Linked DNA regions of Drosophila melanogaster. The protein of the gene in region 1 binds, or shares a complex with, the protein of each later gene. Each region holds a gene or a part of one and is shown on either strand. Other genes may lie near its edges.

The links. The genes of interacting proteins can lie anywhere in the genome.
Region 2: the proteins of edl (region 1) and aop are in contact, whole or in part, in a crystal structure (PDB 1SV0), measured with the Drosophila melanogaster proteins. Residues at the interface, in NP_523786.2 of Drosophila melanogaster: Thr108, Arg109, Lys134, Pro136, Met137, Asn138, Lys140, Ala141, Leu144, Met145, Met149, Arg153; in NP_001259908.1 of Drosophila melanogaster: Glu69, Phe70, Asp71, Leu72, Pro73, Pro100, Gly101, Ala102, Asp104, Val105, Asn108, Val109.

What each region holds. Positions count from the first base shown.
Region 1 is NT_033778.4:18,671,515-18,675,269, forward strand, and holds the start of edl (ETS-domain lacking), read right to left. Parts: upstream 2,023-3,755; 5' UTR 1,432-2,022; intron 1-1,431.
Region 2 is NT_033779.5:2,177,073-2,180,827, forward strand, and holds the start of aop (anterior open), read right to left. Parts: upstream 1,683-3,755; 5' UTR 775-1,682; intron 1-774. UniProt on the Drosophila melanogaster protein: Ets-related protein that functions as a negative regulator of photoreceptor development acting antagonistically to pnt and the proneural signal mediated by RAS. It acts upstream of SINA to inhibit R7 development.

The sequences.
Region 1 (3,755 bases):
ATACTACAAATCATGTAACGCCATCGAGGCGAAGGCAGCGCAACTGCATCGTCTGCCTGACGTCTGCTATTGCCGTCTCATTCAGTGGCACTGTGACGCTGTCGCGCCGTCTCTGTCTGCCCCCAACAGCCCCATTCATCATTTCGCTGCACACTGAGAGAAATAGTCACAATGCAACAACAAAATTGGCTATTATTCGACCAGTAGAGTTGGAATAAAGTCCCAGTGCTTTTAATCTTTAATATTATTTTTATATTATTTCTTGAGAGATATTTTTTTCGCACACAACCTTTTCGCTCAGTGTGCGGCACTGTGGCCCCCAATGTGTGATGGACGGATGTGTGACGACTTTCGGTCTTGTTGTCGCTGATGCGTTTAAAAATATAAGTACCGTGCGGCCAAATGGCGCCAAATGCATTTCGAATCGCTTTGAGTCTTGTCAAATGTGCAGTAGCGCAAGTAAATTAAAATGAATGTGATAGGAACTAAGAAAGTAGGGGATTCATGTATGTTCCGCGTTCACTGTTCACGCCTCGCACGTGTCATCGCGAAGTGAGCCATTGCAGCTGATCCCCAGCTCCTCGCCGCCCTTGGGTCAGCAGGAAGTGGGTCCCCTGCCCGATGGCCCAGTAAGTGCTTATCAAAGTGAGTGGCATAGTCAGAGGTTTGTCATTTCCACCTCCCCACGAGAAAGAACGACGGCGAGCTGAGTCAGCTGGGAAATTAATTAAGCGGGCGAGGCCAGGTGCAGATTGTTCAGTCCTGCAGCTGCAAAGATTACCCAGAACACGCGGGGCAAACGGTATGCCACTCCTGCTGCAACCCTCGACGCCCATACAACTCCATATCCTTTGCGCATGCGCGCGCATTCAGTGTGAGCAAGAAGAACAGAATGAACAGAGAAACGGGTCCAATAACTGGGAGAAACCACGAAACCATCCAGCCGAATGCATCTTTATCGACTTGGCCACAACAATTCTGTTTGCAGCTGCCGTCTTGGCATTTTAAGTGTCGCTTTGTTAGTGCACAGAACGAAATTGTATGTTATTAAGGGATCAGTCGAGCAGCACAAGGTGGTCTTCCTCTTTTTGGCCCAAAAGATGTATCTTAGCCGTTATGTAGCTTATTTCCCTTGGCAAATGCCGAACCAGTCGAACCTCAAGATATCTTGAAATATGTATCTACGTGAACTTTCAATTTGTTACTACCGCTCGGCTTCATTTTAGCTTAATTATGAAAACACCAGCTTGGAGGTCAATTAGCCAGAGTCACATCAAAACTGACAGACAACTTTTGTCGGTTTTTGGGCTGCAAGACAGCTACATACCAACTATAAAAGCCAAGAGTCAACTTAAACCTTCGGAATGCTTTTGAGTGTTAATGATGGCCATAAAAAAAAAAAATGAAAACAGCATATGTAAACCGACTTACCTTGATCGAAAAAAATGTTAATCCAACAATAGTTTGTGTTGCGAATCGTCGTCGTCGAGGTTGAGTTGTTGGAAAATTTGTTTTTTTGGGTGTATTCGAATTTTTCAGCCTTTATTATTTGTTTGGTTTCGGTTGGGTTATAAATATGTTTAAATGGTATCTGCTTCTGGAAACTGCACTTTGCTTGGCTCTCGCTCTCCCAATGGGATTGTATCTCTCGGATACGTTTCGTTTCACAACTTTTGCAGCATATAACGTATTTTTCACGCTCTGAACTACTTTTCCTATTTCGCTATGGCTCGGGTTTTGAAAGTTTTTCGTTGCTACTGCAATTGGCTTCGTTTTTCACTTAACACGATTTGTAGTTGTGGCTATTGTTTTGGTTTTCTATTTTTTGTTATTTCTTTTATTTTATTTTTTTTTTTTGGGGTGGTAAATCCAGTTTGCCAGTTGCAATCGTCAGGCGTACTGCGAAACGTATCTTTGTATCTGGCGGATGAGTGAGTAATGCGCACTGCAAATCTATATGAAGCTCAGAAATGTATCTGTGTCTGCGTTCTGCTCGCGCGCGCTCCACGTTCTCAACTGATTGCGATCGTGCTCGTGCAGCGGTTTTTGTTGACTGCGCTCTCTTCGAATTCGAGTTCGAATTTCGGCCCGGCTTCTCAGCTCTGCAGTTTCTCTCGACAACAGCTGTGGACATATTTGTAGATCGCGTACAGAAAGAAATTAGTATTAAAAGGACAATTAAAAGTTGGAAAAATTAAAAAAAAAAAATATTTTTACTTATTGCGTTAACTTTAATTTTTGTTCTTATTAACAAATGTTTAAGAATTTAGTTTTTGATATATGTCTATATATAAATATTTACCTAATTTATATAAATAAATCATATCAAAGTATAGAATTATATAGTTTATTACTGACTTAATATCGGTGAATATATTGAAAATTTTTAGTTTTTTGTTTCAGTGTATATGCAGACCCGCATTTCGAACAATCTTTCCTGCTTATTGAGCCAACAGCTAAGGTCAATGAAAAGAGGTTCTTTGGCTTCCAGAATGAAGGAAATACGAATAGTTCCTTGGCCTATAGAAATGTGGGTTAACTTTAGCTGTATGAACTTTTTTGTTCAAGGATTAAGGGATTTGAAAACAGACTTTATGGTATTTGTATTCTTATTTATAGGGGTATTAAGGAAACGAAAGATTCACATACAGCCAGAGAAAGGCAATCCGTCGGGTTAATCCCTGCATTCGAATGTTCTAAATATCTTTTCTGGAAGCTGTCATCGAGTGTCTTTGACACTTCTGTGCGCAGTTGAAAAAAAAGTATTTTAAGGAGTAGTTATTAAAAACATGTTTTGAAATAAAATGTTGAAATTAATATGTCATAAAAGAATATACAAATATCCATAACCTTTATATTTTGTACTTTTCCTATATTATTCCACGTTTTCTATGACTAGACCTTGACACTTAATTTATCACCATATTCATTAACAATTTTCGAAGATTTATCATGCACTTGTGCATTCATTAATTCTGTAAGTAACTAACTCATTAATTTCGTGGAACGTTCCTAATTATTCAGCCAGCATTGATCGTCGAGTAATTACAGGAAATCCTTTTCCTGCCGCGCACTAAAAAGCATTTCAATGTTTTGCGGCTGGCACGCATGCCAAGCGATATCGGGATACCTCTGGAGATCCTTTTTGGGGATTCGAATCGGAATGGTATAGCATATGGTAATACATACATATATATATTTATCTGTACTGTAGGTCAGCCATGTGTGCAGAGCTGTCAAGTGCGTGCTGGAATCCTTTTAACCATCGCGTGAGGCGGGATCATGCCGCTGATCGAGTTACGCCAGTTTTTACTTGGAAATTTTATCAGTAGTTGCAGGACCACGCCCACGGGCACGCGTACGCCCTGAAAAAGGTGCATAGGTGCAGGATCGATCAGCTGCACTCGAATTGCAGCGCAGATGCAGCAGCTACTCTTTGAAGCGGTGTCCTGTTGCGATCTCAAGTGCATCTAATGGCTTGTTTATCAGCAGTTGTCGATCGCCGGGCAAATAAATTGAGTAGGTACCATTTTCCTTAATTGATTGCGGCGTTGTTCTAATCATTTCTAATTGCGATGCGAAGGACGCGCGTAGATAAGGACACACGGAGAAAAATGTATACCCACAAAAAAATAATGTAAAATCAAGCAGAACTTGAAAAGTACTTTTGATTTTAAGAATATAATATAGACCATTTTATAATTTTAAGCTAGCAGTATCTTTAATATCAATATAAAAGTGATCAAGCGAATGTT
Region 2 (3,755 bases), on another chromosome or scaffold:
ACCAACCACAGGTAATAATTAATCACAATCCAACTAGACTGTAAGAAATATCTAATCATATTTGGAAACAAGAAGAACATACAACAAATTATGCGCAACAATCAGATAACAAAACAATAATTAAACTATAAAACCACTCCCAAGATCCCCATAAAATTGTAACTCTTATTATTTAAACAAGCCCCAAATGAAAACGCCACAATCAGATCCTCTGAACAGGCAAATAAATCAACTAAACCTTAGATAAACCGTTGTTGCCGAGTCTTCATCCATCTCATATGAGTGTACTGCGAACCAAATATAGCCCAAGTTATCTGTTTACACGTGTAGATCCGACAAATTGTTGACCTCAACCAGAGACCAAAACTCAGACATTGTAAGACGTCGGGTGGAGCGAAGTGGGGAAGTCATATGCAGCAGATAACCAAAGCCAGATTAAGGTGGAGCAATTATTTATCAGCTGCTCAGACAAGACACTTTTCTGTTTCCATGACCATTGTGACGTAGTTATGGGAAATACATGTACCAAAAGATGGTGTTTTAACCAATTCGTAAAAAAAAGCAACGACGGCAATGGAGTGATACAGGGGTAATGTCTGTAAACACCGATTCTTGCACGATTACGAATATAAAAGAACTCCAGATATAAAAACCATTGTGCTTACATATTGAGAAAAAATGTTTTTATTTTTGACACTCTTTTCTGCTACTATTTTGACAATGGTTAATTTAACAGTTCACAACAAAAAGTATACAAATTATCAAAATTCTCACCTGTTTGCTCCACTGTGCACTGTGGTTACGTACTGTAAGGTGAGTGAGTGAATTTGTCTGTTTGCGTTGGGCTTCGGATTCGATTCTTGAGCTTTTTAGCGACAGAAGCAACGCGGAAGCGGATATGTCCAGATCCCAGAATGCTTTAGCTTTTGCTTCGCTTTCTTGTTTTATTTTTGTTTTTGGTTTTGTTTCTGTTAATTCGATGTTGTTCTTGTTGTTATCTGCTGATGACGAAGAGGGCGTCGCGCCAAGTTGCCATTGTTGTTTGTGTTGCTGTTTCCTTTTGGTGAGGGGCGCCGCGTGGGCGGTGGTTGTGTGCTTTTGGGGCTAATCCAGGCTCTCTGTTTTTGTTTTTGTTTTCGCTTCGTTCTGCGACAAATGCCAGCCGTAAAGCGGAGCAAATGAATAAGAAGAAGGCGAAGTCAAGCGTTTTTACTTCCGCCGCCGCCTCAGCAGCACGCACACACAGGCAGACGCGGGCACACAAACGCACACGCACACTGTAAGACACTCACGCGATGCACTTGCACTCTGGCGTTTTGTTCGTGTATTTGTTGTTGTACTTTGGCATTTCCTCTTTCGTCTTCCTTTTCACTTTTGCTTGCACTTCTTGTTGCGTTGCTTTGCTCTCGCTGATGTTGCTGTTGTTGTTGGCGTTGTTGCTGTCGCTCTTGTTTATTTTTTATTTCCGTTTCGCGCACACACACACCGGGCAATGTAAACACACACCGAGTTAAGAAGAACCGTTTATTTCCTCAACGCCGCGCACGAATTAAATTCTATTAATTGTGAATTAATCAATTTAAAACATATTAGTTTGCCATTTACAGCAGAATGTCTAGTTGCTTTCAGGAGCGACTCTTCTACACGTCCGCCCAGCACGGCAGTTTCTTTTTGACTGCCGATTCGATTCGAACAGGCGGCGAACATGAACAAGTCGGCGCATGCGGAGAGAGAATCGAAAGAGAAAGAGAAGCAAAGAGAGCGACATACAGCAAAAACAATTCAAAAAGAACTGGTGAAGAATACGAAAATAAGATAATTTTTTAAGGAAGTCGCGCTTTGATCCGTATCCGTTTTAGCGTCCAAGATTTATATCTTAAATCGGACCTATATTTTGAGGTACAGTGAAGCTTTGATGCGCCAGTCTTATATGAGTTAAAGTTTTAACGATTGAAAGACACCCCTGAGCTGCTCATTATATTTCAATATTTATAAACAATCTTATATCAGAGCTTGAGAGACTTGCATGCGCCACAAAATTCCAATTCCAATTCCGGAATAATTTCACAATAATCTCAATTAACATACGTATTTTATGTTCGTAATTTTTTAAAATTCCCAGATTCCCCACAATTGCCATAATAATCTCGATTATGTTATTATACTCTGAGAAGTAGGAGTGTGTGCAAAGACCACAAACAAATCATTAGGCGCGTAAACATTTACAGATCCACCATCCACTTCCTTGGCAACGAAAGAAGCAACAGCTCGCAGAGGTAATAATTTAAATAATTTAAAACCCACCAAAGTTTACTACGAAACAACTCAATAGGCAACCGCTGTCTGTGGGCGGCGTCGAATTCGCGTGGGGCGCTCGATTTAGTTGTTAATCAATAGAAGATAAAGTTTAAACAAACGATTCATGCTGATACCAGAAGCATGGGCGCCGAAATACCAAGGGATCGTTCTCTCACTAGATAACATACACACCTATTGTGACTGGAAACTTGAAATGATCGAGCATGCCATACCCATTAGCTGTCAATTGTGACTATTGGCGAGCTTTTTGCACATAAACCATAGATAAGACAATTCCGTGAACTCTAATCAGTGTGCGATAATGCTCTCAAGCATTTGAAATAATTATGAATACGACCCCCTGGCCGAAAATGAAATAAGCGCCACGCGCCTGGGAAAAGCGCTCTATTGTAATACAAAATGTTTGGAGGTGCTAGCTGATAGGTGTTTTCGATCCCATAAATCTTGGATCTTCATGGAAACCAGTTGGCAATCTTTAATTATAAATTGTTGGAACATTTCCGCTCGGCTGCGACGGAAAATCTCTTTGGAAAGGGGGCGGGGCTGGGGTTCCTCGTCAGGTTGCTTGGACGGTCGGTTGGTCGGTCGGTCGGTGGGCCTGAAGATGCGCTCAGTTGCACTGCATCCGCTTTGGGGTCTCCAGTCGCCTCAGTTGGCTAACCAGTTTCTCCCCGAGCAACGAGCAACGTTTACGTTGACATTTCAAGTCAAATGCCCATAAACGGCGACCAGCCGGACGACCCCGCCCACGCCCTGCACGCCCCTGCTCAGTTCCGTGGGTATGCACTGAAAGAAAATCTAGATTAATGGGCATTTAGGTAAGTAATAAATAGTAACATGTATTTTTATGGCTATAAATAGTTTAGCGAGTAAGCCTCGTGATATGAAACATTAAAGAACTTTTAGATTGTGACTCTAATTAAGAAATATAATAGAGATATTTTTTTCAAGTGCTATCTTTTCCGTCGATAGCTGCGATGGCGATGACGACGTTTCCAAGTGATCGCCGCAGCGACGATCACTGGCCCAAATTAGTAGCTTCGGTCATGGTGCGTCGCCCATCGGGAAATTCCAGGGTGAAAGGGTGGCTGGCGGAGGAGGAGGACGGGGCGGAAGGGGCAGAGCTGCCGATGAGGATCGCACAGGGGTCAGAGTTCAAATAGTCGTCCAATTGAGCCAATCAGCGTTTGTACATCTGTATTTCGCCATTGCAATGCAACCAGTACGCCTCTGCTGCGCCACCTCCCACTCCATTCAGATCCATCCGACTTGTCGGGTGATCGCTATAGTCGCAGCTCTTAGTTCTTAGTTGTTAGTTCTTAGTTCGATGCCTAAGTGCAGATAATTCATTAAAATAGAATGCCAATGTCCAGAGGCGGAGGCAGCGGCAGCCAAGTGGCATCCACTTGTGCTCTAGAATCAGACACCAAAACACA